Linked DNA regions of Diceros bicornis minor. The protein of the gene in region 2 purifies or fractionates together with the protein of the main gene of each other region. This does not show direct contact. Links are inferred from orthologs where the notes say so. Each region holds a gene or a part of one and is shown on either strand. Other genes may lie near its edges.

The links.
Region 1: the proteins of NAF1 (region 2) and DKC1 purify together in Homo sapiens (co-immunoprecipitation; 7 studies listed by BioGRID and IntAct, counting the BioPlex papers as one, with this or other methods). This does not show direct contact. The link is inferred for Diceros bicornis minor from reciprocal best matches to the Homo sapiens genes NAF1 and DKC1.
Region 3: the proteins of NAF1 (region 2) and NHP2 purify together in Homo sapiens (affinity purification with western blotting; 3 studies listed by BioGRID and IntAct, with this or other methods). This does not show direct contact. The link is inferred for Diceros bicornis minor from reciprocal best matches to the Homo sapiens genes NAF1 and NHP2.

What each region holds. Positions count from the first base shown.
Region 1 is NC_080781.1:139,221,013-139,228,668, forward strand, and holds the start of DKC1 (H/ACA ribonucleoprotein complex subunit DKC1), read right to left. Parts: upstream 3,015-7,656; 5' UTR 2,933-3,014; coding exon 2,917-2,932; intron 2,146-2,916; coding exon 2,078-2,145; intron 1,665-2,077; coding exon 1,578-1,664; intron 1-1,577.
Region 2 is NC_080750.1:50,389,526-50,397,420, reverse strand, and holds the start of NAF1 (H/ACA ribonucleoprotein complex non-core subunit NAF1), read left to right. Parts: upstream 1-4,891; 5' UTR 4,892-5,039; coding exon 5,040-5,398; intron 5,399-7,895. UniProt on the Homo sapiens protein: RNA-binding protein required for the maturation of box H/ACA snoRNPs complex and ribosome biogenesis.
Region 3 is NC_080740.1:90,985,699-90,993,149, forward strand, and holds the start of NHP2 (H/ACA ribonucleoprotein complex subunit 2), read right to left. Parts: upstream 3,097-7,451; 5' UTR 3,013-3,096; coding exon 2,853-3,012; intron 2,764-2,852; coding exon 2,694-2,763; intron 349-2,693; coding exon 243-348; intron 1-242. UniProt on the Homo sapiens protein: Required for ribosome biogenesis and telomere maintenance. Part of the H/ACA small nucleolar ribonucleoprotein (H/ACA snoRNP) complex, which catalyzes pseudouridylation of rRNA.

The DNA.
Region 1 (7,656 bases), on a different chromosome or scaffold from region 2:
ACCATGATATGGTTACCCTTCAAGTTCATAAACTTGGATTTTGCTCCTATATTTTAATTATCTGCTGTGACACTGTTAAGCCTCCTTATATTCAGGAAAAATTACCCATTATGAGTAAGAATAAGACAAATTTGATCACTCCTCTAGAAAGAGACTTCTTGGGGTACTACAGAACAGACTAGGCTTCACTGTGCGGCCTTATGAATAAAATATGGACTAGCTTTGATTTTCTCAGGGACAAGATAACCAAACTGAGGTGGACTGGCAACAATGTTTCTCAAACATGACCAACTTGTTCTTGCTTCAGATGCTCCGATCTGTGCTCCTTTTCATTCTCCTCCTTTCCAAGGCTTGAGGCTGGACACCACTGGTCTGAAAGATCTCCCCTCAATTGAAGCCCATCTTTTCTATCACCCAGTTTAGTTTCATCATGGTACTTACACACAAATAGCAATTATTTTTTAACTCTCTCCCATTCCTAGATTTTAAGTTTCACGACAGTAAAGACATTGTCTATTTTGTTCACTAGCATATCCCCAGGGCCTACAATAGAAAAGCAGATGTGGGCCGGCCCTGTGGCTTAGCGGTTAAGTGCGTGCACTCTGCTACTGGCGGCCCGGGTTCGGATCCCGGGCGAGCACCAACGCAACACTTCTCTGGCCATGCTGAGGCCGCGTCCCACATACAGCAACTAGAAGGATGTGCAGCTATGACACGCAACCATCTACTGGGGCTTTGGGGGACAAATAAATAAATAAAATTAAAAATAAATAAGTTAAAAAAAAAAAAGAAAAGCAGATGCTATCTAAATGGCAGACATGTCTGGCCAAGCAGAAACTCAACTGTGTTGAATTATATAAGCAAATCTCACTCTTTTACCTCATATCCATTGGTTTATTAAAACACTTTGTCAAGGGGTGTCTCAATAACTTTTTCTACTCTAACTTGTCCTTCTAATCTCATAGCAGGTGCCCATTAAGTCGTTTGCGAAACTTCTAATTCACCTCATTACTGACTACCCTATTTAAAACCCAATCAACAGTCAATAATTTCTAGGGGACATGTTACATGCCAGGCACTGTGGCTAAACACCTTTCATGGATTACCTCCTGCAGCCCTCAGCTTGCCTTCCTAAGAGAAGATATGAGCAAACAGCCTCAGAGAGGTTAAATGACTGCCCAAGGTCACATACTGCCTGACTCAAACTGGTCTGGCTTCAAAGCCCATGCTCTCAAGTATTAAAGCAGTCCTATTCCAAGTGTGGCCCACAAACTGGTACAGGTCTGTGAGGTGGAGTTAGGTACAGAAACCAAGAAATAATTGTTTATGAACTTTGATAGCACTTTGACGTTGCTGCGACATCTTAACTGTATTCTACAACAGTGTTAGATCCATTGAAAAAGAAAAAAAAATAACCTGGTCCTTCATCCCAGACACCTTGAGGAACACTGCTTTAGACTGTATCATATAGTATTTCCTAAGTCAACAATGCTGGCATTAAGCACTCTTAACTATTTAACACTTAGACATAATGTAAAAGCCAGGCACTGACCTGATGCATAATCTTAACCACATACCTTTAGCAACAGGGGCCACTGAGATGTGTCCAATTGAGCCACTTTGGATTCAGGTTTGATAAGAAATTCTTCAGCATGCTGTATTTCCTTGCACAGGACAAAAATACACCCTATTAGACTTCCCATCTGATTTTGAACAATTCCATTACTACCACAGAAGTCTATGCCTTTAAAACAGAAAACAAAGTAGTCTATGCTTCTTCCCTGGAACCTCCATGGGAAAGAGAAGAAATGAACTAGGATCTTAAAATGGTAAGTGAAGTACCACCAAGATAGGTACTGCTATTTAAAGAGCAAGAGGGATGGTGGGTCTACAGGTGAGAGAGCAAACTACACCTGACCGGACAGACTCTAAGTTGGCTGGGGTTGTGCAGTTTCTACACAACAACCAACCAATTCCAGCCCATTCCTTAGAAACCTTTAAAAGCAGTTCTTTTCTGTAATTTGTTATCTAAGGAACATTTTTTAGTCCAAGCAAAGTAAAACGTATTCCTACTCACTGCTACATCTTCTTCTGGTAACGACTTCCGCTCCTTTTTCTTCTTATGCTTTTTCGGCAAAATAAATACTAAAAAAACACAAGATTTGGAAGTTTTCCCCGAAAATAAAGGCAACAAAGTTTAAATTAGAAAATGAAATCAGGGCAGGTAGAAAATGGATGTTTGGTCTAGAATTACTAGAGAAAACAAAGTGTGTAAGACCAAACGCGTGGGTTGCATGGCTCGGTTAGCTACTGCAAGCAGTCGCACGTGTCGGCTTCCATTCCGGTTCACCACGTGGCCCTGGCGGGGCTTAAACGTGCTGCAGAAGCGCTCGAGCCGTGGGCCAGAAAGTTCCATAAATGAGTGCTCAACTATCCCCCAGAGCTTTTGGCGTCTAGAACTTGCTTACGACTCAGAGCTACGCCCGCGCCCCTCGCCCCTTTTTTTCCCGCCTGTTCCCACCATTCTTTCCTCCCCTCATCGCCTGGCGCTGACTGCGGCGTCCGGGCTGGCGGCGGCGGCACAGATACTACCAGGTCTCCCGCCACCGCGAGGTCGCCGGCACGGCCGACGACGACCAGGGCCCTAAGGGGGCTGTGCCATCCGCGGGAGATCCCGGCCTCGCGGCGCCACTTCACCGCCAGGGCTTCTCGCTCTCTTGCCCTCCCCCGTGGAGCCAGGGCCAAGAGGCAAGGGCGGCAAGAGGCCCAGCGGCGAGGGGGTCGGCCCGGCGGCTGGAGCTAGCGGAGAACTCGGGACCCGACGCCATACCCCACCACTCCCGGCTCTCTCAGCCTGCGGAGCTGGTTCCAGCCCGGGGCACTTGACCCGGCCACCCGCGAGGGAACGACCCTTACCTTCCGTGTCCGCCATGTTGCCCCGCAGAGCGAGCCAGCCGCGTGGGCCACGGCCGAGAGAGCGACCACAGACTCCCGCCGCCGTCAGGCCACGCCGCTAGGCCCCGCCCACCTGTGCGCCACCCTGTGCGTACCGCACGGGGGGGGCGGGGGGGGGCGGGGCCAGGCTGCGGGGGTGGGGGGGCGGTCAGAGGCCGAAGCGCGCACGCACAATCTCATTGGCTGGCTGGGCCCCTGAGGTTGTGCGAACGCGCGTGCGCATTGTGCCGCGTCCCCGCCCCCAGCGGCTCAGCCTGGGAGCGCATGCGCAGGCCGCCCCTGCTGCCCGTAGCCTGTGGGCGTGGCCCCGGCCGCAGTTCGCACACCTTAGCTGCGTTTAAGCCCGTCTTGGGCACTTAGACGCTTGGCTGAGCGCTCTGTTAGCAGTAGCTCGTTGCTTCCTCTCGCCGACCGTTGAAGGTTGGTGTCGGATCAGTCCCGATTGAAAAATTAAGCTGTCGAGGCACAGAGAAGTTGAAAGCACTCTGCTGCTTGCAGTTCCCATCCAGCTAGAGCGGCGCTGGCCGATAGGAATAGAGTGCGAGCCACTTGTGGGCTTTTCAATTTTCCAGCAGCCACGTGGAAAAAAAGTTAAAAGAAAAAGATGAAAATGATTTTAATAATGAATTTTATTTAACCCACCGATCCGAAATATTACCATTTCAACACATTTCAACACGACCATTATACACCATTATGAATGGGATATTTTACATTCTTTTTCTTTCGTACCAAGTCTTTCCTGTGTGTGTTTTACACTTACAGCGCACCTCGCTTTGAACTCCACGACGGGGCTCCATGTCAAGAGCTCAATAGTCACAGTTAGCTAGTGGCTGCAGTATTGGACAGCCAGGAAGTAGCAGCTGTTGGTTCAAGCCCTCTTCCCTTCTGTCTTTGGTGCTCTTCTCACTCTTCTCTCTCTCAAGCGGGGGCTCCTAACCTAGCCTCGGTGGACTTGATTAATCCCTAGTTACTTAATTCTTTATTGCGATTGTAAATGGAATCTTTTGCCGTTATCTTTTCCAATGACTTTGCTTTTCTTCCGTTCCTCCTTTGCCATCCAAAAATTAGAAATTTTTCAGTTTTATTTTACTGGGGTTAAAATAGATGATTGGTTTTTCCTTATTTAGCTTTTTTATTCTATCTAGAATTTATTTTGGTGTATGCCAAGGCAATAATCATCTAAACTGACATTTTGTAGATAACCAAAATCGCCAGTATCAACCAATCCATCTGGAGTTCATTACTTCCCCCATTATTTTATAATGCTTCATTGGTACATATTTGGCTGAATAATTTTGAGGTATTCATCAATAGTACTCATATAGGCTTCATCTTTCTCCAATACTCCTCATCCAATCTGTTAGCAAAGCCTGTCAGCTTTGCTTTCAAAAGAAATCCAGAATCTGATGGTTTTTCACTACCCTCACTGCTGTCACTGTAGTCCATGCCATCATTATGGCTCTCCTAGATTTTTCCAGTGGCCATCTGCTGTTTCCCCTGCTTCTACTTTTTCTAACTGTAGTGTCTTCTCGACACAGCAGCTGGAAAGAGCCATTAAACTGTAATGTTCCTCCTCTGCTCAAAGCCCTTCAGTGGCTTCCCATCTGTAGTGGAGTAAAGAGTAGCCCCCCCAACTGGCCTGTTGGCATAGTGGTTAAGTTTGTGAGCTCTGCTTTGGCAGCCCGGGGTTCGTGGGTTTGGATCCTGGGTGGGGACATACATCAAGCCCTGCTGTGTCAGCCTCCCACATACAAAAAGAGGAAGATTGGCAACAGATGTTAGCTCAGAACCAATCTTCCTCACCAAAACATATGTCCTAACCCCTGGACCCTAGGAATGTGACCTTGTTTGGAAAAAGGATCTTTGTAGATGTAATTAAGTTAAGGATCTCGACATGAGATCATCAGGTGGACCCCAAATCCAATGACAATTGTCCTTGGATGAGAAGGGCAAAGACAGACAGACAGAAGAGAAGACCAAGTTGCTGTACCTTGAACCCACTCCTCCTAAGAAAGAAGCACGATGCTTAGTGGGCCTCTTTCTGGAGGTGGCATACCCATTAGGATGGTACACAGAGCCTTTTCCAAACCTAGATAAGAGAATCACAGCTGAGGCCTCTGGAATTGGAGATAAAAATAAAGCTAAGACCTACACACACACACACACACACACACACACACACACACACACACACAATTTGCTGGGAGGAAAAGCCCCTGACTTGCTTTAGCCCTTTACTGAAACTGAATGACTATGTGATACAAATGATCTTAAGAACTGAGCTACACATCATGAACTGGGTATTGTTTGACTGACCAAGTTATCAAGTCAGGCATGAGCAGCAGCACTCCACCATCAAGTACAATGGTACAGCTTCTGGGGAAAACAGTCTGGCAGTTCCTCAAAAGGTTAAATATAGAGTTGCCATATGACTCAGCAATTCCACTCCTAGGTGTATATACCCAAGAAAATTGAAAATAGATGTTTAAACAGATGCTTGTACACGTATATTCATAGCAGCATTATTCACAATAGCCAAAAGGCAGAGACAACCCAAATGTCCATCTAAAGATGAAGGGACAAACAAAATGTGGTATAGCCATACAATGGAATATTATTCAGTCACAAAAAAGAATGAAGTACTGATACATGCTACAACATGGATGAACCTTGAAAACATCATGCTAAATGAAATAAGCCAGACACACAGGGACAAATATTGTATGATTCCACTCATATGAAATAGCCAGAATAGGCATCCTAGTACAGGCAACAGGCATACGAGTGAGGAAGCTTCCATAAGATTATAGCCTTCAGCCATCTGGTCACCCCCAGCCATTGAATCATCTCAGCTAAGACCACAGGTATTATGGAGCAGAGAGAAGACATTCTCACTGTGCCCTGTTGGAATTTCTTGACGTAATCTGTCAGCTGAATAACAAAACATTCCCAAACTTAGTGTCATTAAACAACCATTTTATTATGCTGACAGATTCTGATTATGCTGAGAATTCAGCTGAAAGGCTGAGTTTCACTGGACAGGAGCACCTGCTTACATACGGCCTCTCCACGTGGCTTGGACTTCCTTACAGCATGGCAGCCTCAAAGTAGTCAGACTCCATACTTGGTGGCTCAAGGCTCAAAAGCAAATGTTAGAGTGGAGAAGGCATAAACCTGCATAATCTTTTGTGGCTTGGCCTTGAAAGTCTCATAGCATCATTTCTGCTGTATTGTATGGTTGAAGCAGTCACAAGCCTACCCAGGTTCAAGGGGAGGAGTCATCAACCCCACCTCTCAATGAGAGGAGTGTCAAAGAATTTTGTAGCCCTGGTTTAAAACTGCCAGATTCAGCAAGACCCAACCAACTGCTGTGAAGGCCAAACTGGTGAATTAAATGGGAATGTGACAGGAATTTCCTTCCTGGCATTCTTCAAGTCTTTGATGATGGAACTGGTTTCTGACATTGTCCCCTAAGTATGTGATATTTCTTTTGATTTGTACTCTGGTAGGAAGGTGGAGCTCCAGGGGTTGCCACTTGGGCCTTTCTGCCGTGATTGGGTCATTCCATGGGTCAGGAAATCAATGTGAGGATTCTGCTGATTTTTTAAATTTTAGCCATTCTGATAGGTATGTAATGGTATCTCATTGTGGTTTTAATATGCATTGCCCTAATGGCTAATGATACTGAACATCTTTCCACAAGTTTATTTGCTATCTGTATATCCTCTTCAGTGAAATGTCTCTTTATATCCTTTACCCATTTTCTAATTGGATTATTAGTGTTTGTTTTTTGCTATTGAGTTTTGAGAGTTCTTTGTGTATTCTTGTTATGAGTCCTTTGGCAGATATACGATTTGCAAACATTTTCTCCCAGTCTGTAGCTTGTCTTTTTATACTCTTAACAAGGTATTTTGTAGAGCAAAAGTTTTAATTTTTATGAAGCCCAGTTTATCAATTTTTTTCTTCTATGGATTGTGCTTTTGGTATCATGTCTAGGAACTCATCACCAGGTCCTAGGTCTCAAATATTTTCTCCTATGTTGTCTTCTAAGAGTTTTATAGTTTTACATTTTGCATATAAATATATGATCCACTTTGAGTTAATTTTTTGTATAAGGTGTGAGGTTTGGGTTAAATTTCTTTTTCTTTTTCTTTTTTGGGCTATGGATGTCCAATTGCTTCAGCACCATTTGTTGAAAAGACTATCCTTCCTCCATTGAATTGCTTTTGTACCTTTGCAATTCAAAGGTACAAAAGGTAACTTTGTCAAAAAATAGTTGGGTGAATTTATGTGGGTCTATTTCTGGGTTCTCCATTCCATTCCATTTATCTATATCTATTCCTCTACCAATATCACTCAGTCTGGATTACTGTAGCTGTATAATAAGCCTTGAAATTGTGTGAAGAGATTTATGTGGTGATCTTGTGTCCTGCAACCTTGTAAAACTCACTTATTATATGGGACTTTTTTCTGTAGATTCCTTGGGATTTTCTATGAGGACAATTATATCATCTGTAAATTGAGACAGTTTTATTTCTTCCTTCCCAATCTGTGTGCCTTTTATTTATTTCTTTTTTTTTTTTTTCGCCCTGTTGCACTGGCTAGAACTTCCAATACTACATTGAATAAGAGTAGTGAGAGCAGATATCCTTGCCTTGTTCTCAATCTTAGGGGGAAAGTGTCCAGTTTTTCACCATT
Region 2 (7,895 bases):
GAAAATGGAGAAAGAGTCAAAAATAAAACTAAGAAAACAAAAATAAAGCAGAAAGGGGAGAAAAATAAGAATGGTACCACAAATGCCCAAAGTGGAGGGAGTGGTAAATAGTGCTTCTAATCATTACGTGACAAATATTAGAAAGTATTCTCATTCCCATTTAACAAGGGCATTGTAGGCTTCTAACTGAACTGTACATGTGTCAATTCATGTCTTTTTAAACAGTGAAATAAACTAAGATCAACCAGTGTGCCATCTATAAAAATTCCAGAATTCAAAAAAATTGGAAACAAAAAACAAAGACTATGAAATGACATTTCTAGGAAAGGCTTTAGGTTTCAACTTATTTGTGTTCCTTTTTTTTGCCACTAAATCCTTTCTTCAGATGAAATCTTACTTGAAATCCAACATGTGTACGGGATCTGGAATGCCAATCGCCCCATTCCCTAACCCTCACCTTGACTGGCTCCTAATGCACTCTGAAGGGTCTATGGAGCTCTGCTCTGGTGATCCTTCATCAATTAAAATTGATATTTTATATTGTGAATTCTACGAGCTCTAGGGCCTTTTCCGTTTTGTTTACCACTTTATTCCCAACACCTGACACAGCACCTGACACAAAGTTGGTACCTGGTGAATATTTATTGAATGAATGAGTGAAAGAATATCAGACAGAGAAAATTAAGTGACTTGGACTAAGTCACACAGCATTGATGAGGCTGAGATTTAGTACATAGTAAGTGACTGGGTAGTGGGTGGCATTACCAGGATAGGAGATAAAGGAGGGGAAGTATGGGGAAAAGGATGCTGAGATCCGTTTTGGATTTGACAGTTTGAGGTACTTGAGGGGCATCCAAGTAGAAGCATCAACAGACAACGAGCTAGTCAGTCTACTCACCTTAGACTCAACGGTCCAGCACTTCAGCTCCTCTTGGAAAAGGCTTTCATTCTTTTTACTTTCCAGCACTATACCAGTCCTGGGATGTTGCCAATTCTCACATGGCCACTAGGGCAGAGTTTCTTAAACTTTCAAGTGCACGCAAATCACATGGGGAATCTTGTTAAAATGCAGATTCTGATTCAGAAAGTAGGGCCTGAACTTCTGCATTTTTAACAAGTTTCCACCTGGTGCATAAGCTGCTCGTCCAGCACATTTTGAGTAGCAAGACACTGGAAATCAGTGCAAACGGCAGTAAGAGTTAGTTAGCAGCTGGTTTTTTCTTTTTGTAAAATTTCACAATCTTTATAATAAGTAGAGACTGGCGAACTTGTAAAATTCTATTTGTTTTTAAACAAATTTCTTCTTATAAATGTTTTTGCATTTTAAAGAATATATTTAGGTTTTTTACTTGTTTGCTTGCTTTGAAATGTAATATGGCTTTTAATTAATAATTTAATTCAAGACAAACTCTCGATTTTAATAGTGATCCTATAAACTATTTATTCTTTCAATAAGTTATTTTAGCTTTTAGCCCTAAGGGAAAGACTTCAGGCTAAGTTTAGCAGCTGTTAGAAATAATGCAGCAGAGAGGCAGGCTCTGGAAGTAGGTAAATTCAAGACATTTTGAAACATTCAAGCACTTAGAAAAAGTATCAGTTGCAAAATAGCAACCTAGTTAAAGCTAGGCAGAGGTATAGCTATTCTTGTCCTGAAGTACAGAGACCATCTCCACCCCCAAAACAAAGAGATTTTTATTGGAAACCAGTAGCATTTCTTAGGAATCATTAGATTCATTTAAATTGAAGGAATAACTTAGGTATCATCTGTACCTTTGTCTGTAATCATTTCTCCTTTACCTTGATTGTTTCATAAAGCTTTATTGTTTTCTCTTTTTTGTTTCATTCTTCCATTCGAAAAAATTTTTAGGATTTGTTACGGTTCTGGACACTGAGAGACAGCTGTGAGTTAGACAAAGATCTTGGGCTCATGAGACTTAATTTTATGGGAAAACAGAGACAATAAAGAAGTAAATAAATATAATTTCATGTGAAGATATGTACAGTCATGTGTTGCTTAACAATGGGGATATGTTCTAAGAAATGAGTCATTAGGTGATTTTGTCATGTGAACATCATAGAGTATACTTACACAAACCTAGATGGTGTAGCCTACTACACACCTAGGCTATATGGTACTAATCTTACGGGACCACCTTGGTATACACGGGCTATTGTTGACCAAAACTTCGTTATGTGGTGCATGGCTATACGATAAAAAAAAAAAAAAAGGAATGAGATAGAGAGTGACTGGTATTAGGGGATACTCTTAGATTGGGTGGTCTGGAAAGTTCTATCTTGGGTGTTATATCTGAGTACAGACATGAGTAAAATAAGGAAATGAACCATATTAATTTGAAAAGAAGAGAGAACAACAAAGTGAAAATGCCATATGTAAAGAATGCACTTGGTGTGTTGAAGAGGGATCACGAAGACCAGTGAGATGAATGGCCGGAGGGAAGGGAAAGTAGTAGGAGATGGATATGTGGGCAGCCAGATCAGGCAGAGCTTTGAAAACCAAAGCCGGGAGTCTGGATTTTATTCTAAGCGTGATCGCAAATATTTAGGGTTTTAATCAGTAAATTACATGATCTTATTTATTCTTCCTTATGAAGTTCTCCTATTTTCTCAGATTAACAAATTCATGGTTCTCTTTAAAGGCCCAGCTCAAATGTCATACTCATTGTAAAACTTGCCTTAACTTTCCCAGTATTCTCTCTCTGTGTTCCCATTTGCACATCCCTCTTCTATAGTACATGCTTCTACTATCAAACATTTCTCTACTCAAGTACTTATCACATTTCCAACTTGTCTTTCTTCTAAACTGTTAGCTCCCTAAGGGCAAGGACTGTGTTTTATTCACTTTCCTGTATGCCCAGTTCACAGGCACACCATTAAAGTAATGGATGAATTCAATCATTACTCTACAATAAGGAACGTGCTCTTTGAAGATAAAAATTAATGCCTCCCTTCTTGTGATGCCAGATAAGTCTCCCTTCCCGCAGCACCAGCATCATGTCAACCAACTGAGTACATGCTAATCTAAAAAAAAATATTTTCTTGATACCTTGAATCATATCCCTGTCATGCTTGATGTATGTTCCTTGTTCTGAAATGGTACATAAACTGTGCCAAAAACCATGCTTCTCCAAAGCATTTTCTTCCTTGGTGGAGGCTAGGTCTTAACCCAGGCTAGTCCTCAGCTTGGCTCAAATAGAACTCTCTTCTATTTCTTACTAAAGATTGATTATTGATTATTTGCATTGACAAACAACATTATAAACTCGTTATCTTGTTCCAACTTCTCCATATTTACTGGTAATACCAGCTTCTTTCTAGTTTCCTTGGTTAGAAATTTTAGAGTACTTTAACTCTTCTTCTGATGTTGGGGATTTCCTTTACTCTATTTCACTGATTCTAGCCCTGGTTCAGACTTTCATCACTTGATTCCTGGAAAAACGCAACGGACTTTTGGCTGGCTGGAGGGTCATTCTGACTCAAATTTCTTCTCTTCTCAAATTCATACTGCATATCTCTGCAAGATCAATGTCACTAAAATATCACTTTATTCATCATTTCATGCGTTGTGCTACTTATCAAGTATCTTTGCACACTTATGTGTATGACACATGTCATTCTCTTGCATAAAACCTTAATTAAAGTTCACATGAACTAAATGAGATAATATTTTTATCTCCATTTTACAGATAAGGAAAACGAGATTTAGGTATGTTAGGCTGTCTGCCCAAACTCACCCATTACACCAACAAAGAAATGGTAGAGCTGAGATTTGGACACAGGTCTTTTTAGCTGGGAACACTGAGCTCTGCTTTATCATTGCATTAGCGAGTACTGTCTCAAGTTTAAATTCCTGCTTCTCTTTGGAGAATTTCCATGATACAGCCCATCAGTCTTACTTAACTTCTAACTACTGCTGAACCTGCATCTTCTACTCCACATTTCAAACATCTTTCTAGTTCTCTCCTGTGCGTTGACCTTTTTACTTCTATTAGATCGTAAGATCCTTGAAACCAGAGATTATGTGTTACTCTTGTCTTAAACTTCTATGAAGGTCTACTATTGTGGAGGGCTCACAATAAATTCGAAGGGAATAACTGATAAAATCCTTAGTACAGCCCTTGGTACATATATATGCTTAATAAAATGGTAACAATGAATATTATTTATTATTACTCGAGGGGCTGATGGGAGTAATAATAAATAAATTGAAGCTCTAATAGAAAACCAGAAAATTGACCCCTACCTTAATCCTAAGAACTTTCTGCTTGCCTTCCTTATGATCTAGAGCAATGGTTTCTCAGGCTAAGTTAGTACATTTTAGTCTCATCCCACCCTTTCTATGAAGCATCATCAACTGCAATATAGGTATCACCGTAACATCAACAAGCAGCAACACTCTGTCACCGCTACTGCTCTCTTTGAGAGTGCTTTGGAGGGAAAAAAATGGAACAGTAGTAGTAATTTTTTTGAGATGAATAGTCAACGTACTTTCTATCGATGAATTTAATTTCATTTAACTTTAAAGAAGTTTGCTAGAAGTGTCTGTTTTCAAGACTTCCTGGCTCAAGTTTCGGATGGACAGCGCCTCGCACAATCAGGCATCTCCTCAGTCCTACAATCTCTCCTTCACATCTTCTCATCGAACGAAATTTGCACAGATCCAGCAATAGGAAAGTCTAGCCTTCTGCCCTTGCAGTGTGAGCAGAAGTCCCGACGATGCAGTGAAAACGGCGGGTTTAGGGCCGCGGGAGAGCTAGTTTCCACAGGTCCTGCGGCTCCGCCCCGCCCCAGTGAGCGCAGTCGCGTCACGATACGTCATACGCTCTCCCGGAAGTGCCGCAGAGTAAACGGCGGGGGCGTGTCTGCAGACATCTCCGCGTGTAGTTACCAGAGAAACGCGGGAAGTCGGGCCCAGGCTCGGTTACCTCTGCCGCCAAGGTTGTTTGATCTTTTCGTGAGCGAGCTGCTAGCCCGTCCGAGGGTCCAGAACGGGAGCCTGACCGAGTGTCTGGCGTGACGCCATGGAAGTAGTGGAGGCCGCCGCTGCTCAGCTGGAAACTCTGAAATTCCACGGCGCCGGCTTTGGGGTGGGCCAAGGTCAGGAAGTGCCGTCTCCTGGCCCTATTCCTCTCCCGGAGCCACGGCAGCCACTACAGTCGGAGGAGGGGTCCCCGGACACTGGGCAGGCCGCGGAGGCTCAGCCTGCCGGGGGCCAGCCGCCTCCGCTCGCGCCGAGCCTTGCGGCCGGCGGGAACCTCGCGCCGCAGTCGCAGCTGGAACCTCCACCCGGAGGGAACTGCGTCACCGGCCCGGGCGCTGCGGAGCTGGCGCGGACCCCAGACTCCCCGGAGACCTCGGACTCGGATTCGGACTCGGACAGGTCGGGTGCTTGCCGGTCCCGGAGCTGTGGGTAGAGGGCCTGTGTAACCGGCGGGGGGAGCCGGGGCCTGGGGCGGAGAGGGTGTCCGCGTGGGCTCCGAAGGGAGGGGAGGTCGCTGAAGCTGAGGGCGCACGTGTTTACACGCACATCGGACCGCCCACTCCTCGCTGTTCGTGGCAGATCGCGTTGTGAATCTGAGCTCAATAGTCAGATCTCGCTTCTTCCCTAAATTTAGTAGTCTGGAAAGTCCTAGGTGTAGATCGTATCATTTTCAGTTGGAATACGGAAAACCTGAGGATATTGGATTATTTTCAGAACTACTCAGTTTGGCGTGTCCCTTTGTGGTTAGAGTTTTGTGTCAGATCCGACTTGTTTTCCCCATCAAGTTTAGTGAACCAGGTGAATTGACGATGAGTTAAAGGATATTCTGTGTTTCCAAATTGGCTCCTGAAAATTTTGTTAATTCGTAGACTCCTTCTGGAGAGCACGTGTTCGTGAAATTAGCGAACCATTGTTACTTAGTAGTAGTGTATGTTCTGCATAGGTTTTATAAGAGCTCCCCACCCCCATCCTGTGTCTTAAATATGAAACCTCTGGTGGGAAGGGACTTCAGCATGTAGGATGTTACTAAACCACACTGAACACTGTATACAAGTATTTGAGTGTGTTGTGTGGGATACTGAACAGGTGAACAAAACAGACAGGACCTCTGCCCTACATTCTAGTGAGATCTACAAAAAATAAGAGTGAACATATCAATCAATAAATTAGAGTTGGTGACAATTACCATGAAGGAACAAGCAAGGCACTGAGAAAGTAATAGGAAAGCCCAACCGTGTAGGCCCTTGCAGCCTTGTTAATGTTTTAATTCTAAGTGCTAGAGAAACTGTTGAATTTGAAGCAGAGAAATGGCATATTCAGGTTAACATTCTAATAAGCTTTGCTCTGTAGAGAAGGAATTGAACTGGATTGAAGAGGGAAAGCAGAGAAGCAAGAATGGAACAGGGGCTACTCTGGAAACAGTTGCAAAGGCGTTGCATTAGCCCATGATGTGACCATGGTTGTCTGGATTAAAAATTTTGAAGTCACCCTGATCAGGCTTGCTAATAGATGTGGCAGTGGGCTAGACAGAGACATCAGTTGAGTGGATGGTGGTGCTGTTTCCTGAGACAAGGAGTAATTTTTCTCTGATGGGAGCTGGAGACCAATAGGAATGTTAAATTTGGACCGTTAGTTTGAGATTTCTCTAACAGCCAATTGGTGATGTCAGGTAGGCAGTAGGGTAATGAGTTTAGACTTCAGAGGGCAATTCTGAACTGGAGAAGTAAATTTGAGCATTGTCAGATTACAAATAAAACTTACTCTAACTTTTTGTTATGGATGTTTTCAAACTTGTAAAAAGTAGAGAGAGTAATATAATGAATGTGTGTATACTCATCACCAAACTTAACAGTTTCCAATATTTTGCTGATCTTGTTTTATTTAACTTTTCTTTTTTTTTAATGTGATAGTTTTAAAACATCTCAGACAATATGCCACTTTACCTGTAAATTCTTTACTATGCATTTCTAACAGATAAAATACTTTTTACATAACCACCATATCATTATCAACCATAGTAGAATTAATCCTAATTCTTTAATATTTCCTAATAGTCTGTATTCAGATTTTTCTGGTTGTTTGAAGGGTGTCATTTAACAGTTGGTTTATTTGAATTAGAATTCAAACAAGATTCAAACAGTGCATTTGGCTGTTACATCATTTAAGTCTCTTTTAAGTCAACGTTGGATTTAAAGCTTCAAAGGCAGAAGTTACATGAGGGTGGAATACCACTGTAACATAGTGGATGCCAAAAATGGAAGTTGCTTTTTTTCTTTTTTTTTTTTTTTTTTTGGTGAGGAAGATCAGCCTTGAGCTAACATCTGTTGTCAGTCCTCCTCTTTTTGCCTAGGAAGACCAGCCCTGGGCTAACATCCGTGCCCATCTTCCTCTACTTTATATGTGGGATGCTGCCACAGCATGGCTTGATAAGCGGTGCGTAGGTCTGTGCCTGGGATCCGAACTTGGGAACCCCGGGCTGCCAAAGCAGCACGTGAACTTAACCACTTTGCCACCGGGCTGGCCCCCAAAAAATGAAAGTTTTTTTGAGGAAGTGATTGGGGAATCATGTCTGATGTTGCTGAGAAGTAAGATGACAGAAAGGTGTCTGCTGGACTTAGCAACATGGCGATTGTTGCTGAACTTGTGAAGGGCAGATGGTGATGGAAGCCCATTTAGGGCTAGAGATTGAGTGAGAAATAAAGGGGAGAGACAGCATGTGTTAACAACTCTTTCAGGAAATGTTAAGGGGAGAAGTGAGGCCATAGCTGGAGGGATTTAACAGAGGCACTACAGAATTTTGGTATGCTGATGGGAATGATCTGGGGCAGGGGGAGAGATTCATAGTACAGTAATATTAGGAAGCAGTTCACTTGGAAATGGGATGGGTTCCTGAGCC
Region 3 (7,451 bases), on a different chromosome or scaffold from region 2:
ACACCTTCTGTTTCATTCTCACAGTCCACAGAAGGGGATTCCCATTTTACAAGGAAACCAAGGTGCAGAGAAGGAACTTTATCTGCAGTTCCCCAACTAGGAAGGAGCAGAGCCAAGAATCCATCCAGGCCTGTCTTAACTCAAAAGCTTGGGCTCTTTCCCATGATGGCCTGTTCCACAGACCCAATCCCAGACCCCATCCTCTAGTGCTGACCCAGGTCAGGGGCTCCTGTGCTCCTCACCGTCTTAGAGGGGATATAGACGTAGGGCAAGTTCCGGTCCTCACACATCACCGGGAGATGGCAGTACACCTCAATGGGCAGCGTGTCTCCTGCCAAAACCATGATCCTGAAACGAGAAACAACGTTGTTTCTAGCTTGCTCATTCCCTCTTTCAGCTGTAGGTGCTACCTCTGGACTGGGCCTTGGGGGTGCAGAGACGGATAAGATGGCCCTTGCCCTCAAGAAGCCCAGTTATTCATACGGGCCTCTCAACCTCTGAAAGTGCTTGCAGATTTGTGTTTGGTGAGTGCACGCCTCTGGGGAGCTGATCTCTATTTCTTTGCAACAAGTAAATGCCACCAAGTTTGACAAGTGGTATTGCACTGGGACAGATGAGGTATGGGAGGGACGCCAAGGAGCAAGAGCTCAGCTCTTCTTGGAGAGTCAAAAAAGGATTCAGGAGGCAACACTTGAACAGAAAGCTGAATGATGAATTTCTGACAGGCAGCCCACGGAAGGGCTGAGGGCGGGGAAAGCATTTAAGGCTGAGAGAATCAGAATGGCACCAGATGCACAGGGGCTGGCTATTAGGAGCCTGGGATGGCTTTGGAATCCAGGATAGGGACCAGGGCAGAGAGGGCTAGAGAGATTGGCAGGGACCACACCCAAAGACCCTGAGTGCCAGCCTAGGAAGCATGGGCTCAGTCCCAAGAGTGACAGGGAACCAATGAAAGTTTGCCAGAGAATCCTTAGCTAGGGCTTCTAGCTGGCAAGGTGCTAGGGCTCTGGGGCAAGGGCCTCATGAGCCCTGAAGACAGAGGAAGAGTCTGTTCTCCGGGGGGGAGATAGGCAAACACAAGGAAAGAGCTCTTGGTTCAGAGCACGGCTTCCACTCTCTCCTGGTTCTCCTTTTGCCTCATGGGCTCTCCTCTTCCTCTGAGTAGACTTTAAATGCTGGTGTTCCTTTCAGCCTGGTCCTTGGCTGCCCTCTCAGTACCTTCTCCCCAGCTGACCCCAGCCACAGCCATGGCGTCAAGTGCCATGCATGTGCTGACAACTGCCAAATCTGTTTCTCCAGCCTGGCCCTCTCTCTTCCAAGCTCCAGACCCATACAGCCATTTGCCTATTTGATGGTTCTGGTGGGGAGAGGGGTCACGTGTCTAAAAGGTGCCTCAAAAACTTGTCTAAGGGGCCAGCCCGGTGGCATAGTGGTTAAGTTCACGCACTTCAGTGGCCTAGGGTTCACAGGTGGGAATCCTGGGCACGGACCTACGCACCACTCATCAAGTTATGCTGTGGCAGCATCCCACATAGAAAATAGAGGACAATGGGCAGAGATGTTAGCTCCGGGCAGTCTTCCTCAGCACAAAAAGAAAAAACCCCAACTTGTCTAAAACCAAACTCGGGATCTTCCCGGCCCCCCCTCCACTGTCCAGTATCTCAGTAAGCAGGCCCTCTGTCCATTCAGCTGGAATCCATACCTCCTGATTCTACGTCGGCAAGTCCTCTCAGATCCATCCACTTCAGTTCTCTCCATCTGCCATCACCAACCTAATCCAAACTGCCGTCACGTACACTAGAGCAGCCTCCTGTTTCAACTTCCTCAAGTCTACTCTTGCATCTCTGATCCTTCTTAAGTTGCCAAAAAAATCTTCTTAAGGGGTAAACATAATTATGTCACATCCTGGCTTTAACTCTCAATGGCCTCTCAAAGCTGAGTCCAAAAACTAAACTATACTTACCACAAGCTTACAAAGCCCCATGAGAAGGTAGCACTTCTGCCCACCACTACTCTTTCTCGTGCCCTGGTACCCATCTTCCTTGCAGAACCCCCAAAACTAATCCCTATATCTTCACACCTCAGCTACCCCCGCGTAGGTCCCTACTGAGCATCAAATCCCCCAGCATTATTTATCTCTTGGGCACCTCAGTGTACCAGACACTTCAGGGGAGAAAGCAGTGAGAGGCTTTATCCTGTTCTCAAAGAGCTTACGGCCTTTGGCCTGAGTGGGAGAAACAGGGAATAAAAATGCAAATAAGTTTCAGATTCTGATAAATGCCAGAAAAGAAAGACGAGGGGGAACGAAGTCATTCTCACTGCACCCTGTACTTTTCGTTCATAGTTACCTATCGCACAACTTGTAAATGTGCGTCTGATTATTTGATTAATGTCATTGTCTCCAGATAGCACAGTGCCGGAAAAAAAACAGACACTCGATAGATAGTCGCTGAGTGAATGAAGCTGGGGTCTACCCTAAGTGAGTGGTGTATACAAGTCGCTTCCCATGGAATTCACGTGCCCCATGGTGTCCCTCTGAGCTCGTCTAAGTGATGTATCGGTAGCTGTACTGAAGGGAATTCACCAACTGCTTGCTTATCTTCCGCACGCGGGGCTGAGTCAGAGCACTTGTACCGAGCACTACTACCCTCGTTACCGTTTAGAAATGCAAAGTCCGGCGGGAGCGTTCTTACCCTTTCTCGCCCTTATTGATAAATTTCTGGACCTCCTTCACCCCGCGTCGAATCTGCTTCTGCTTCACGGCTGAAACAACAGAAGAATCAGTCGGGGCCCTGGGCCCCCCGCCCCCGCGCCCCCCGCGCCCCCAGACTGGCCGGCCGGCGCCGCCACACCTTTCTTGATGCATTTGTAGAGCTTCCGCGTGAGGCGGCGAGAAGCCAGGGGCTGCGCGATGGGGTTCAGGTTCACCAGCAGCTCGTGGTAAGTGCGCTCCCCGCAGCACGCCTCGGCCTGAGCCTCCGGCCCGTCCGGATCGGCCTTTATCTTGGTCATCACAGCTGCCGCGGCAACAGTCCCCCGGCGACGAGTCCACGCGGCGGAGGAATCACTTCCGGGTCATCCCCTCTGCGGAGAATCGGCCGTATACTACAACCAACCAGGAGACCAGGTCTCAGACTCCGACCAATTGTGGACGCTCCGCTCCTTAAAGAGGGAGCTGAGGGGGGCGGAGTCTCGGCCGTAGGGGCGGGGCCACTCCCCCCACAGAGAGGCGGGGCGAAGCGGATTAGGGGCGGGGCCGAGGGACTCCGAGGCGAGGGGGCGGAGCCCGGAGGGAGGCGGGGCCAGAAGGAGGCGGGGCTAGGACAGCGGCTTAGGCGGATCTGAGAGCCCCGGTAACCTGTACCTACAGGAGCGGGCGGAGGAGGCAGTGTTTTTGGGGCATGACCACGACTAAGGGAACGCGATCCTTGCCTGACGGCGGGATCTGGGACCCGAGTAGAGGAAGGGGCAGTCTGCTCGGTGGGATTCCACGCCACCTTAGAGTCTGATCCTCATTTGGTCCTGGGTGGTGTGCCCTAGGTGCCAAGGTTAAGGTAAACCCTGACGCTGCTAAGGGTTCTTCGTTCTAGCACAGTTTCTCACACTCTGCTTTCCCTTTTACGGCAAGGGATGGCCCCACTCCCTGAGCGCCGGAGTCTGGACCGCCTTTCCCCAGAAAGCCCGTGCCTCACTCCTCTTCTTCCCGCAGGGGTCTGCTCAAATGTTACCCACGGGAAAGGTTCCCCGGACCACCTGATCTAAAATTGCAGTCCCCCCCCCCCACCGCATCCCCTAACTCTGTTTTCCTCGTGGTTCCTACACCGCCTGGCATCACACACACGAGAGGCATCGCGGAGACAGCTAGCTGAGCTGAGGGGCAGACAGCATGAGTGCAGCCGTGAACACTGTGGGGAACACACTGGGGCTGCGACTTGGGCGGGGGAGCGCGGGACTCTGAGTAGGCGCCCAGTGTAAAGTTATCTGTAAAGGCTTAGTGGACGGTGACGCTGGAGAGGGGAGTAGGCCTAGACTGGTGGATTTTGTATCTCCAACTTACTTCTTCCACTGCGTCTTGGAACACTGGGTGAATATCAATTAGATAATTGCTGCAAATTAATTGCCTTTGATTATGCAGTGATAGGCCTGCTATTTTTGTGGTGGTGGAACAGGCCAGTCAGTGGAACTTTAGAAGCCTACAGGTGGCCATAGCAGTGCAGGTCAGTTAAGCCAACTTAAAAAGTGGCCCTGTAACCAAGTGCAAAGTCATTAAGTAAAAAACAAATAGGTTTTTAATTTAATATTTTAATAAGAAAAATAATTTTCACAAAGAGAAAAATATTGAACAATGAAAATACATTATTTATAGGGCTGGCCCCACAGTGTAGTGGTTAAGTTTGTGCGCTCTGCTTTGGCGGCCTGGGGTTCGAAGGTTTGGATCCCGGTCGCAGACCTATGCACCACTCATCAAGCCATGCTGTGGTGGCATCCCATATACAAAATAGAGGAAGATGGGCACAGATGTTAGCTCAGGGCCAATCTTCCTTACCCTGCCAAAAAAAAGAAAGAAAGTAAATACATTATATAAGCAATAAAAAATAATTTGAAAGTAAACAAAGTTTGCACAATATAACAAAAAATTGACCTTTTAAATGTTTTCATTTTGGAATTTCTTTAAGAAAAGATAGCCCCTTCCTGAGTTTTAGGACTGGTGACTACTGTCAGCTTTACCTTAATGCAAATGACTTTGCTCTATCCCCCACTTCTCCCTCATCCCAGGTTCCTTAGTAGCCATTCTGGCCCTCCCTGGGAAGCCGTCCCCAAGGGGCAGTGAGCCTGTGAGAGCAGAGCTCCTCTGAGCACACAGCTAGCAGGGCTCTGCAGGGTGGTTTTCTGTTCCTCTTTCTGAGTGGCGTTCCTGTGAACGTTTTCAGCTTGTAGGATGAATGACACTGTGTCAGGATCACAATGGGGAGAGGCACTGCCAAATGTGTGCATGGGACATGATGAACTCTGTCCAGCCGAGTAATGGAGAATTTCATCCCTGGGAAACCCAATTCAAGCAAATTCCAGCAAATGTGCCTGACTGACCTCACCGAGGTCTCCGTCACTAAGGCCTCTCAGTTCTTATATGGAAGGAGGAAGTTAACATTTACGTGCCAAGCACATTACATGTAATCTCTCTCGCAAAGAGTATCTATATTACTCATAATTTCCTAAAGCCCATAAAAGGGAATGGCTCCATCCAGTTCACACAAAGCTGGATTTCAACCCAGATCCATTTGTCTTCACACCCTCACTCTGCTCATACTCTGTGACTTGGCGATAGACTTTAGCTCAAAGGATATGAGATGTGGCTCAGTAGTGAAAGTGCTGGAACCTCGGCCTGGCTGGGTCATGAGTGTCAGCTTTTTGAGCTGTGAGACAATGAAGTGCTAAGAACAAACAGGTCCTCAGTAAACCATATTGTGTATTTCTAAAACAGGCCCAGAGCTCTGTGCTGGATCCAAGGTGGTTTGTGTGATTTTACTGATTTTATTCAAATGGCCACTGGAACTCGCTTGAAGCAGTGTAAAGTGGGTGAAACCATAATGGCTAATGAACAGTAGACCAGGGCTCTAAGTGACAAATGGCTTTGGGTAAGTCATTTAACCTCTCTAGGCTTCAGTGCCTCATCTATAAAGTGAGAAAGTTAGACCTAGATGGACTAAGGCACCATCTTTTAAAAGTTGGAGAGGATGATTTTTTTTTAAATTGCAGTATAATTCACATACCATATAATTTTCCTGTTCAAAGTATACAATGCAATGGTTTTAGTAGCTTCACTGAGTTGTGCAGCCATCACCACAGTCAATTTGAGGACATTTTCTCATGTCAAAGAGAATCCCTGCACCCTTTAGCTATCACCCTCTGACCCCTTCATCCTTCCCAGCCCTAAGCAACCTCTAATTTTCTGTTTCTATAGATTTCCCTGTTCTGGACATTTCATAGAAATGGAATCGTGTAGTATGTGCCCTTGTGTCTGGCGTCTTGCATTGAGCATGATGTTCTCAAGGGTCATCCATGTTGTAGCATGTGTCGTTACTCTGTTATTACATAACATTCCATTGTATGGATAGTCCACGTTTTATCCATTCATCAGTGGATTGGTTTGTTTCCAACTTTTGGCCATTGTGAATAGTGCTGCTATGAACAGTCATGCACAAGATTTCGTGTGGACATATGTTTTCAGTCCTCTTGAGTAGATCCCTAGAACTAGAACTGGTGGGTCCGTGGCAACTCTGTGTTGAGTGTTTTGGGGAACCGCCAGGCTGTTCTCCCCAGCGGCTTCTCCATTTTACGTTCCCACAGCAGTGAACAAGGGCTCCAGTTTCTCCACAAGCTCACCAACACTTGCTGTTCTCTGACTTCTTCGTTATAGTAATCCCAGGAGGTGTGAAGTAGTATCTCATTGTGGTTTTGATTTGCATTTCCCTTGTGACTAATGATCCTGAGCAACTTTTCATGTGCTTATTGGCTATTTGCCTACCTTTGGAGACACATCTATTCAGATCCTTTGCCCATTTTTAAATTGAGGGTGACTTTTTTAATTGACTTTTTACTTAGCAAGATAGATGCTTACTTTAGGAGCTGAAGTTCAAGTAGAAGAAAAAAATATATAAATAACCATATATCGTTTATGCAATTTATTGGAAATCTGCTTTAATTTTTTGTAGGCCGGTTATGTCACTGTTAGTATGACCAGTATTAGTCAAGATGGTCGATGGAAACTTACGTCCCAGCCTGGTTTCCTTAGTGACAATTGGTGTCTCCTCAGAAATGAGGCCTGAGAGTTCAGGACAAAGCCTGAGGAAAGAGGGACCATCAAGTGGGATTCTGGAGGATGGACCCTTCCTCAGTCACAGCTGCTTGGGACACACCTTTCTGCACAAAGCTGAGAGCTTAGAAAAGCCAGCTCAGCACTTCAGGAAGACGGGTTTCTTTAGGGTTAGGGTTTTGGCTTTGGAATTTAAAATTTATTATTTTAAAGATGATAATGTTTATGTTAAAAAAATTTTCAGATAGTACATAAGAGTATAAAGTGAAAAGTTAAACATCTTTCTTCTCTAACCCCTATTCCCCTCATTTAAGCTCTCCAGATGTATTCACTATTAAGTTTTTTGTGTGCATATGCAAGTGTATATATATAGATATGTTTGTTTACACTATTAAATAATACACTGTTCTGGCAATTTATTTCGACATCAATATATCTTTTTTTTTTTTTGTGAGGAAGATCAGCCCTGAGCTAACATCCATGCCAATCCTCCTCTATTTTTGCTGAGGAAGACCAGCTCTGAGCTAACATATATTGCCAATTCTTCTCCTTTTTTTTCCCCCCAAAAGCCCCAGTAGATAGTTGTATACTAGTTGTATAGTTGTACAGTTGCACATCCTTCTAGTTGCTGTATGTG